2 linked regions of the Oryzias latipes genome follow. The protein of the gene in region 1 binds, or shares a complex with, the protein of each later gene. Links are inferred from orthologs where the notes say so. Each region holds a gene or a part of one and is shown in the gene's direction. Other genes may lie near its edges.

Evidence for each region. Proteins that work in one complex are often made in the same cells at the same time.
Region 2: exosc7 (region 1) and exosc4 share a complex: the UniProt entries of both Homo sapiens proteins name them as parts of the RNA exosome core complex. The link is inferred for Oryzias latipes from reciprocal best matches to the Homo sapiens genes EXOSC7 and EXOSC4.

The regions. Positions count from the first base shown.
Region 1 is NC_019869.2:5,726,933-5,733,107, reverse strand, and holds exosc7 (exosome complex component RRP42), read left to right. Parts: upstream 1-2,420; 5' UTR 2,421-2,502; coding exon 2,503-2,559; intron 2,560-2,652; coding exon 2,653-2,754; intron 2,755-2,826; coding exon 2,827-2,921; intron 2,922-3,602; coding exon 3,603-3,768; intron 3,769-4,839; coding exon 4,840-4,910; intron 4,911-4,989; coding exon 4,990-5,113; intron 5,114-5,187; coding exon 5,188-5,343; intron 5,344-5,412; coding exon 5,413-5,517; 3' UTR 5,518-5,581; downstream 5,582-6,175. UniProt on the Homo sapiens protein: Non-catalytic component of the RNA exosome complex which has 3'->5' exoribonuclease activity and participates in a multitude of cellular RNA processing and degradation events.
Region 2 is NC_019875.2:26,758,463-26,764,246, reverse strand, and holds exosc4 (exosome complex component RRP41), read left to right. Parts: upstream 1-2,004; 5' UTR 2,005-2,068; coding exon 2,069-2,239; intron 2,240-2,994; coding exon 2,995-3,201; intron 3,202-3,286; coding exon 3,287-3,643; 3' UTR 3,644-3,759; downstream 3,760-5,784. Other genes in the region: gpaa1 (glycosylphosphatidylinositol anchor attachment 1 protein), read left to right, coding at 5,766-5,784. UniProt on the Homo sapiens protein: Non-catalytic component of the RNA exosome complex which has 3'->5' exoribonuclease activity and participates in a multitude of cellular RNA processing and degradation events.

The DNA.
Region 1 (6,175 bases):
GCATCTCAATCAGTAAATTAGAGTCTCCATACAGATCATGCAGGCCAACTTCTGCAGCGTGAGGGGAAGGACAGGAGGCCTCACAAGCAAAAAGGAGTTAAAACAACCATTACAAACAGACCAAAACTAGCAAAACTAGCAAAACTGATCAACCTGACGTTGAAAAACAAAGATGAGGCTGAAGATCCAAAGAAAACGAGATGCAAACTCCAAACAGGAAATCCTTCTAGTGGCAGGAAGTTTTTTTTTTTTTTAATGCAACACTCATGCATATATTTAATCTACATTTATAAAACTAAAATCTAATCTTGATTATTTAGACCAAGTTAAACTTTATTTAAAAAAATGTTTTCTTTTTTTTAATGTTTTCACCTGTTTATTTATTTTTATGAATGAAACTTCTATCTTTGTTCAGTTTATATGACTAGTTATGTGAAAAACAAACGTCATCAATTAATGTTCCTGTTTTGGGATCAATAAAGTTTTTTTTTTCCCTATTCTAAACCGTTTCTTCTTTTTAAATAATGTTTTTTATGGAAATTTGCTCATGTGTCGGGTTGAGATGTGATTCAAAACATGAATTTGTCAATCAAAATGAACTGATTTAGTACTTTATGGCAAAAAAGAATTAAGACGACAGACTGAGCTTCAATCAAATGGGCAAAAACAGAGATGAAGCCATGATTATCACTTTAATTGAACCGTCTCCACAGGATGTTGAGTCAACCCGGAAGTTCCCTCTGCTCTGGCAGCAAGAGCGGGAGCTCTGGAAGCTAATCACAAAAACAACAACACACATCTCACATTTACAGCTAAAACCTTTTTCTGGCTCAACAACCCACCTGTCACCCTCTTAGCTTTGTTGTCAAGAATCCAGAAGATTTCACGTTTCCTGAAGCCTTAGGGAATCGAACCACGTCCGCCCCGCCCGCTGTGATCGTTAGCTAAATCCCCGCTAACGCGTGTACTCAATGGCTTCTTCCTGGTTTCTGGTCTCCGTTTAATTAACAAGGTAATTTGCTAGCTAGTTCTTCGACTTAAACTTTAATAAGTCACTGTATTTTATGTTTTCTTGAAGGGTCTCATCCAGAAATCTCTGCGGGAGGAATAAAAACGCACCCATACCCAACCAGGAAGTTTGATTACCCCTAGTAGATTCGCCCTGGGTATGGTCTGTCAGGAGAGAACCCGGGAAGGACTTCCTGTAAACTGACCAATCAGATTATGGTCTAAAATTAAATCCACCCCTTTGGCCAAAACGCAGGGCAATTTTTCTTCCATTTAAAATCATTTTATTTTTTTTACAAGTACTTCCAAAAAACACCCAAATAATCATATTTCTGACAATACATACTACAATACAATGCAATCAAACCACAATTTACAGATCTGAAAATTAATGATATTCCCCTAAAAGATGAAAAAAAAATGCACCAATAAATTAGTAACTCTAACCTTTAAACAAATAACTTTCTGCAACTTTAGTATAAACAATAGACGGGACTTAGAAACCACCCTAATGAACACATTTTTTTCTTTATACACAAAGTACCCACTTCCACCTAAAATGAAAGAAACGCATTTTAAAATAATATCTCAAATTTACCCTGTTGGAGATTTTTTTACATAAAAGATTCAAATTTCAATCGGAGCCATGCCTATTCTGTTAATCTGAAACTGAAACGTTAGAACATCTCTGTTACAGTTACAGATAAAAATATTTTGGACTGATATTCACAATTGGTTGTCACTCAAAGTTTTAAATATTCCCTTTTTTCCTTATCTGTTGTTATTTTCTATATGGAAAATATGGACCCAGGAATTTCTGATGTCATTAATGTTGTTATTATTTAATGCAAAAATTTCATTCATTTATGTAAATGGAAAACTACATGCCCTTTGTTTGGTATTTTTTGAATTACTTTTCTGATTATTATAAGTGTCTTAAATGCATTCCAAACAAAAACAAGAAAACTACAGTAATTTATCAAAATATATCAAACGTACTGTTATTTTGAATTGTTTTTTGCCTTGCCTTTATCATATTTTTTAAATTTTGTTTTGTTTTTTCAATATGCGCATTTATAACGATTGTTCACCCTAACTTGTTTTGTATATGTGCATTTATAAATATAAAAAAATCTGAATATAATTAAATAGAAATATATTTTAAAACTGTCTATATACTCTTTATGATATGGACAAACATAGCACAAGCATCTACATTCCTACACAGAAGAAAAAAAAGATTACTCTCAAAAATGTATTATTATTGTCATTATTTTATTATTATTATTGTTTTTGTATTATTATTATTATTATTATTATTATTATTATTATTATTATTATTATTATTATTATTATTATTATTATTAAATTTTGTGATGTTGAACAGCAGCTCCCACTTCTTCCAGGTGGTGGCGACATAGTTCCTTCATCGAGAAAACTGTAGAAGAAGAGCCTCCCGGCACCGTTTCTTCTTCTTCTGTTTGTTGAGTTAACATGGCAACAGTTAAAGTTAGCGAGGCTGAAAAGGTGTACATTCTACACGGAATAAGAGTGAGTTGTTCTAGAAATGTGTGCTCTATTAAGCTAAATGTCTGTGAAGTTGTCACACCAACCTAAAGATGTGGATGTTTGTATTCTCCTCAGGATGATTTACGTGTGGATGGAAGAAGCTGTGAGGACTACCGACACATGGAAGTGGAGACGGATGTGGTCTCAAACACTGATGGATCTGCCAGAGTCTCCCTGGTAAAATCAACATTTACGTGTGAAAGATCCGCAGAAACAGTGTCTTTATTTTCCTTCCATCGTGCTTCTCAGGGACACACCGCCGTCCTGGTTGGGATTAAAGCAGAAATAGGAAAACCAAGACCACTGGTTCCAGATGAAGGATACCTGGAGTTCTTTGTTGATTGGTAGGTTTAGTGTGCATTTAAAGCAGGTTTGGACATCAAAATGTGCACAATTTGACATTTGACAGAATTGTATTGCATCAAAACAGTAAAGAAAAACATTGAATAGCCTCTATAGTTTATTAAAATGAATAATGTTTGCATTTTTGGCTTGATATAAATATTAGAAATACCTGAACCCTAAACCGTTACATATTTGATTTCTTTTTGGCTAAGTTGGGAAGTCTCTCTTGATGTTTTTGTTGAGATCATTACATGTTCTAAAGCTTATAATGCATGTTTAAATATTTTTTGTGTTTGTTTTTGAAGTTTGAAGGATGTCTTTGTCCTGCGAAGCATTTTAAAGTAATGAGGATGTTTTAAAAATAAAGTTTATTTTGGATATCTGTTTTTGTTTAAATCATCTTGCAGGATAATAAACTCCTAAACTAATAACTGCTGGGATTAACTGTTGCACCATTGACTCAGTTTTCCCCACTTCTCTCCGCTTTCTTCTGATTCTGTAACTCCTCATTCCGATTGGCTGAACTCACCTGATCCAGGTATTCAGCTTTAAGACGTAGAGGGTGTTCATGAGGACCATGCCGGGCTGTTCTGGTTTAAGAATCGGAACCAAACTGAGTTATTGTCAATGTTTGATGTTTTTTTTTGATTCCCTGACATTTTTTTCCCCAACACCCCCAGCTCTGCCAACGCCACCCCCGAGTTTGAAGGCAGAGGAGGTGAGGAGCTAGGGATCGAGCTGAGCAACACTCTCTACAGAGTCTTCAACAACAAGAACAGCATAGACCTGAAGGGCCTCTGCATCAGTGCTGGGGAGCACTGCTGGGTTCTCTATGTAGATGTCCTGGTGAGTCTCTTTAACATAAAAATATAAACACAACATAAAAATGTTAAAAATAAAACAATAAACACAACAACAATAGACGTAAATTCAGTAATAATGCTAAATCTTATGATTTTTAAGTTTTTTAGAATTTTGGGTAAAAAATTGGGTTAAAAAAACAGGTTGAAGTAGACATTTACATGTTTTTTGTTTGTTTAGGAAAAACTTGTTGCTGCATTTAGATTTTTTTTTTAAATAAAGTTAAGCAAGTGTTTTGTTTACCTTGTATGCATTAAAAATGAAATGCTGAAGTATGTCTGCTGTGCTGCTGAGGGGTAGCAGATGGGGTCAAATCAGGTTAAAATTAAGAAAAAATAAGGTTGTAAACTTGAAAAAAGAAAAAGAAGAATGTTTTGAAATGGTGTTAAACTTGAAATTATACATTCTAAACTTGAAGAAATACAGAAAATTGGATACAAAGATTGTAGATTTAAAACTTAAACTAAAAAAACTATAAACTTACAAATGTTACCAAATAAAAAATGATCTTCATTTGTAGCAGCTGCCGTTTTATATAGTGAAGTTTTGGTTTTTTCGTTTGTTTAACTAACAAAAACATACCAGTTTCTAATAAACATTAATTTTATTTCATTTTCACTGTAGGTTTATAGTTTTTTTATTCTAGTTTCATAATTATATGCTGTTGTTTTTTTTTCTTTCTAATTTTAAGCGTCATTTCTTCATAGTTGGGTAAAATAATTAAGAGACACTGATGTAACTCCATAGTAGCACTTCAACTTGTGAAAGTATCAAGAAATATGTATTTTATTTTATTTTTTGTTCCTTAAACCCCAAATAGTCATACCGGCCTGCAGTGGATGCAGTTTGTTTTTCATGGAGGAGGTTTGTCGGACTCAAGAAACACTAAATGAGTTGAAAGGCAGCTGATGTGTAATGAGGAAGTGAGGTCTACTTAGTCAGTCAGCCAGTTAGAAGAAATGCGGCCTGAGAAGGGGCGGAGCTTCACCTCAAAGGCCTCAAATGATTTGTAAAAACCACCACTTCATAAAGGCGTTTGCATCGTCTTGTTTGCAGCTGCTGCAGTGTGACGGCAACCTGTACGACGCCATCTCTGTCGCCATCAAAGCGGCACTCTTCAACACAAAGTGTGTATCAGTTTTTCACATTTCGTCGTGTTTGGAGACGTTTTCAGCTCATCCTGTGCTCCCATCATTTCTCCCCCAGAATCCCTAGAGTCCACATGTCGTCGGACGATGAAGGCGGGAAGGAGGTGGAGCTTTCAGACGACCCGTTTGACTGCGTGAGGCTGAGCGTGGAAAATGTTCCCTGCATCGTGACGCTGTGTAAGGTGAGCCGCTGCTCGCAGGTGAAGTCCGTGGTCGTAAACGCGACGGTTTGTGAAGAGTGGCTGTCGTTGAGCAGGTGGGCCACAGACACGTAGTGGACGCGACTCTGCAGGAGAAGGCGTGCTCGGTGGCGAGCCTCATCATCGCCGTCACGCACAGGGGCACGGTGACTTGCGTCAAAAAGGTGGGCGGCGGGAGCCTGGATCCAGAGAGCATCTTCGAAATGACAGAGGTGAGAGTAGACGACCTTTCAACGACCCTGACCTTTCAGAATAAAGTTAATGTTCTTTTGTTTGTGCAGGCGGGCAAACGAGTCGGGAAAGCTCTTCACGCTCCACTCATGAAGCTGCTGCAGCAGGAAGAGAGTCTGGGAAAGAAGAGAGAAAAAGTTGGCTTTCTTGGCTGAAATAAACTTTACTGTGTACTTTCATTTTTTTTTTACATAAAGCACATTTAACATTTTCTATAAATCTTAGTCTAAGTGTATTTTTCCTTCAAAAGAAGACTATCATCCAGTCTGTGCTTCAGCTGTCCCAGACCTGCTCTATGGGCTTCAGGTCAGGGGTCATTGCTGACCACACCATATGAAGCCACACCTACTTCCCGAGGTCCAGCTTCTGGCACCATGTGGTGGAACATTATCATCTATTACCACAGGAAGTGGGTGATGATGGTTCTATGATGTCTCTGAGGTAAGAACGGGACTGGACCATCAAATGGGTTTGCCGCCACCAGACTGTTGCTCCGCCTCCACCAAAGTCAACCCTGGGGACCGTGTTGACCTCAGCGTTTCGCTCACCTCGCCTTCTCCAGCAACGAGGTGACCCGACACTCATCAGCGAGCCGAATGGTAGACCATTGCTGCATTGTCCAGGTCACGTGGCCTTGTACCGCAAACGTTCACGGCTGTGTTTTGGTGTCATTTGAGTCATTGTTAGCGGTCGTCTGTCATTCCGGTCCAAGTGGTGGAGTCAAAAGGCTTGTCTGGAAACCCCAGAACCCCTCACGTCTGGTACACGGGCCTGCAGCTGTGTGGCGTTTGCTAAACCATGTCTGAGGTCAGA
Region 2 (5,784 bases), on another chromosome or scaffold:
GAAAATGACAAACCTTGCATTTGTAGAGCAAAGGTTCACTTGTTTGTGTGATCCCTTTGGGTCTTAGTTCCACGTAAACGTCATCATTTGCTATATTGTTTTTTTGTTTTTTCTTCTTTGTCACTGTTTTTAATATGTAATCCCTAGGTTTCAGGTCTGCTTTAGACCCTTTGTTACGAGTCTGTGTGGAACAGTGAGACTTCTGTAAATGGAAAAGAATGAAAGGCGATTTTTATTGAGTGTTTTTGTAAAGTTGCAACAACCCGTGTGAACAGTGTTTGGGTTTTGTACCTCAACACTATTAGCTCTAACGAGAAAACGTAATCCACAATGAGAAATGTTTCAAAAAAAAAAAAACCCAAGAAGCAGGATGGCAAAAATAATAAATATACCATCTCCTGTCTTTTACCGCCCCTGAAGTTTTTCATTCTTATCAAAGAATGTAGATTTGCAACTTCTAGTTATGTGTTTGAAAGCTTGAATTCAAGGTAAAAACTTTTCCTCACGATGCACTGGCTAAACGAAAGACCGCTCCGTCATATCACATATAATCTTGTTATTGTTGAGCTCATTGCATTATACGTATATGCATTGTTTCATATATGTTTTTATTTATACACATTAGAGATGCTAATAAATTTTATTTTTAAAACTCTTGAGGTTTGAGTTGTACTCCTTTTCTTAGGCTTCATCTTTTCATCTTCATCTTCATACCTTTATCGATGGAAAGGATTTTGATGTTAAATGCGATATTAAAGCAAATCTAAAGGTAAAAAGACAACAAATGAAGCAACAAACAGAATGAAGAGATGGAAGATGAGGCTGGAATGTCGTCTGAGATCTGATAAAAGCTTTAAAGTGAAATGCTGGCAGGCAGTTTGTGTGACTGAAATATTAACAAAGCAGGCCAAAATGTAGTCAATTTAAACACGTTTTAAAAGGTGAAAAGCTTTACTCTGTAATCAATTTAAAAACACACAAAAAACTTATTTTAAATATGGCATTACAAGGTAAGTCTACTTCATATTTGTAAATTATCAAATGCTTTAACACAAATTTTTTTTTAAATATGAAAAAGTGAAAGATGTTGATCTGATTTAAAATGATCACGAACGATTGGCGCTCAAAAATATTAAAATTAAACTAGAAAAATAAATGACAATAGAATTGAATCCTTTTTAACATCAGAAATGAAAATATATCTTCTGTATAATTTACAAAAATGCTAAAACATTTTATTTAAAAAGATTAACACTGGATTTACTTTTTAAAATTTGAAAACCAAGATGTTTTGGAAAAATAAATATACTTTGACTTGGGTTCTGATTTCAGACAGAAGATAAAACAAACTGCAGCGCCTGTAAAACTTGTCAAGATGTCAGGGGCAAAAATTAATAAAATAAAAGAAAATGAGAAAATCTGCAGGTGTCCTTTAAAGAATTCTTATAGTAATTTCAGAAAATGTTGCTGTACTCTAATATCAAAATTCTATATTTAAAGACAGTATTTTAAAATTGACATTCCCAAGAAAAAACAATAGTTATTAAAATCATGATTAATCTTTATCAGATTATGTCAATACTCTGACATTAAATGAAGTGTTTATTGTGTTGAAAATATTTATAAATCTGAATTCCTAAAACTTAAAATGCTTAAAGTCTTATTTTATCTTGTAATTTTAAATTAAAAATCGGAGTCGTGAGATTAAAGTCAGAATTCTTAAATGTAAAAACTGCATGCCGTGTGTAATTTCTCAGCTCCTGATTTTAATTTATTTTATTAATTAGTTTTGACTCGCGTACTAGTAGTTCCGCATTTATCTACTTCTTTTGTTCTGACGTATCAGTTAGATTTAAAAATAATATAAAATAAGAAAAAAGGCTTTCTAAATGTTTCGTTAGGCTACTTTTCCAGTAAGAAGTTGTTACTAAACCATCTAAGTAAAATAAATATGGAAATCTTTTTTGCGACACTTTCTTCCGACGTTGCTGTAACTGCTCGAAGAGGATGATGGTTAATGTAGTACATCAGTAGACACGTGTGTTGTCGTGTAGTTAAGCTAGGGAAAATGGCGGGTCTGGAGCTGCTGTCTGATCAAGGATACCGGTTGGATGGAAGAAAAGCTACCGAGCTGCGCAAAGTCCAGGCCCGCATGGGGGTGTTCGCTCAGGCCGACGGTTCCGCGTATCTGGAGCAAGGAAACACCAAAGCTCTGGCGGTGGTTTACGGCCCGCATGAAGTGAGTGGCGCGCGCGCGTGGAGAAGTGACGTAAAAACAACACCACCAGTCTGTTCATGGCAGCCAAAGAAACGGTGCAAACTGCGTTTAATGAAGGATTAAGATATTTCTATGTAATGTGTCAGATTTAAAGGGATATTTTACATTAATGTAATGATTTTAGTATAATACGTTTCCTTCAAAGCATTTTATTGTATCAGTAACACAAAATGTTTACTTATCTGGCTCGGTCACACAGTACTTACTAACAACTGCATTCAAGAGTTTTTGAACTTGTTATGCTATTCTGAGGTAAACTTACTGCTTTTGAATCTTTGACTTGCTGAGAAATCCAAGTTAATTTGAGGATTTGTTGGTTAATTTATTCATTTACCAAAAGTATTCCAAGCCCCAAATATAACAGCCCCTTACCATGACACCATTACCACCATGTTTGACTGTTTGTGCAATGTTTTACACTAGAGTGATGCGAGGCACATCACCCAAAATGTTTCACGGTTATCTTTTCTGTCCTGAAAGTCTTTCCTAAATCTTGTAGAACATCGATATTTCTGATGGAAAACCTGAGATGTTGTTTTTGCTCATCTGTGCCGTTGACCTCAAACTCTCCCATGTCTGGCGTTTTTATTGTCTGGTTTACCTCTGATGATGGATTAAAAAGCTGTTTTACTCAAAGGACAGATGTATGCCGCCCTGTGAAAAATGTCAGACCTTTTTTATGGTTCTCCTATGCTTACTTCCTGTTTCCCATTCAGATTCGAGGTGCTCGTAGTCGGGCTCTTCATGACAGAGCCATTATCAACTGCCAGTACAGCATGGCCACCTTCAGCACGGCGGAGAGGAAGAGGAGACCGCACGGAGACCGCAAGTCCACAGAAATGAGCCTTCACCTCAAGCAAACGTTTGAAGCTGCCGTGCTGACCCAGCTCTACCCACGCTCCCAGATAGACATCTATGTCAAGGTTGGCCTTAGATTTATAGTATACTGCGCTCTACTTCATAGCATCTGTTTTCGTCATTGTTTTAAGAACGTTTTCATCATTCAAGATTCTTCAGTCCGACGGGGGGAACTACAGCGTTTGTGTGAACGCCGCCACACTGGCAGTGATCGACGCAGGGATACCGATGAGGGACTATGTGTGCGCCTGCACAGTGGGCTTCGTGGATGAAACCTCTCTTGCCGATCTTTGCTACGCAGAGGAGAGCGGAGGAGTGAGCTCTCTGGCTTTGGCGCTTCTGCCCCGCGGAGGGCAGATCGCTCTGGTCCAGATGGATGCCAGACTGCATCAGGATCACCTCGACACTCTGATTGAGGCGGCAATGACCGCTTGTAAAGGTGTGAGCAAAGTCCTGGACCAGGTGGTCAGGCAACATCTCCAAGAAGGTTCTACGCTCAGAGAATAATGGTGAAGGAAAGAGTAAACAAATGGTTTCCTGGGATCAACACTTATTTTGTCGTCATTCTTAACATTTTATTAAGTATATTTGTGCATAAAGAATAAATGTGAATGTATATCGTTTCTTTGTATTTGCATTTGTTTTATTAGCTGAAAACTGACCTGTTTTTGATGCAAAAATCAATGTGATCAACTGAAACAGCAACATCAGCATTTTATATATAAACAGATAATAAAGCTTTGTTTTCAGACTGATACAATAAGAACCTTTATTTTAAACCACACATCCGTAAGAGTAAACAATTTGTGAAAAATTAGATAATTCTTATATCCAATTTATTTAGCTGTGTTGATATCTTACAAATTTTCACCAAAACAATACTTTTTATTCCTGAATGAAATGCTCTGTTCATGTGTTTAGTCTTTTTTTTTTAGATTAATTTTCTTTGATTTGTTTTGCAGACAGGCTATTCTGCTTTTGCTTTTGTTTGTTGTAAAAGTAATTTTTATGTCACAATACAATACATGTTTTGTAAGAGTTTCAGTCCGTTGAGGCTGAATAATCTATCATTTTCTTTACCTGCTGAAACAAAATTGGTATTAATGTAACTTACTTTTTAAAGTAACTTTTCTTACATAAATCTTTATTAGAATTATTGCATATTAAAGTACATTTTCACTGATTATTACAAAAAGATGCGTGACTAAGTTTAAATAATCACATTTTACACCACCTCTGGAATATTTTGATAAATAGAGATGTATTTCATTTTTGACCGGATATGCATTTTTCAGACCGGAAGTTGGTCCACAGAATTAACGTTCCCGCGGGAACAAGGAAACAAAATACTTCAGCAGCCCTGGTGTGGAAGCGTCGCCTCTGCAAGTGTGACTAGGTTTGAGGTACATTTTTTTACGTCTTAAATATATCACATTTATAAACAACGTTTACACTTTTGACGGATGGTATATATTTTTAAATACTAACGATGCTGTTCTGTCGAAGCTAGCAGCATTAAGCTAACCATCATTCATGAAGTTGAATGAAACGACGAGAGTCAGAAGACATTATGTTAATATTTGTAGTTATAATTATTTTTATCACGACCACACCAGCTAAAAAAAAGTCTAAATGATTCTAAAACGGTTGTATTTTTCTCTGCGTGGTGGTACAAGCTCATGGATTCGTCCAAAAATCAGTGCAGGAGTTAGTGAGAGTGAATCCCAACATGCTCCTCTGTCTAAAGTAGCTTTCTTCAATGTCTGGTTCCGAGCTAAAAGTGACGTCTAATGAAATATGACTGAAGGGCTGTTTCTCCTATAGGAAAAAACAGTAATAGTTAAGTTAGAAATCATCATCATAAAGTCATATCAGATTTCAGATTAAGACCACAACTAAATAATATCTACATAATCAATCAAATATTGAGATTCGGAGATCCCATGTCCAGATTTTAGAGTTTTCATTTCGTGCAGGCTGGATGACTGAAACATGCTCCTCTTGAAAAATAAGTAAAGACAACAAAGCTGCAGCTCATTCAGAACTTTGCTGTCAGAGCCAGGAGAACCGACCACATCACTGCGGTTCTCAGGTTTTTATGCTGGCTAAAAGTCAGAAAAAGGAATGGATTTCGATTTATAGCCTCTGCTACTGCCTAACTATGTAGCCACAGAGGCAGCCCAACGGGTCCCCCTGTCACTGTCCCTAGCCTGGTTAAATATAGGTTGTGTCGCGTAAAAATCCGCCCAAACCACCTCTGTGAAAACAGCACAAGCTGTTTTGCTGTGGCGACCCTTGAAGAAATTTGCTGAAAGGTGAACAAAACTGTATGTATAGCCACTTAAACACCTATCAGATCTATTTATTGTCAAATACGCAATAATTGTTAACATGTGGCACAGATGAAATGAATATAATTTGGGATTTTAACTTATTATTTTGATTCTTGAATCTTCCCTGTATTATCAAAGCTCTTGCATTTCTTGAAACCCTTTGAACGGCCTTTGTGTTCATCATTTGAGAGCTCTTCATTTGCATTATCAAGGTCTGGAGGTCTGTCTGTTAGTGGTCTGTACCTTTTCTGCCTTCTGGTTCCAGTAGATCCACATATCCAGGATAACGAGACGACATGGGGCTGCTGTCTGACC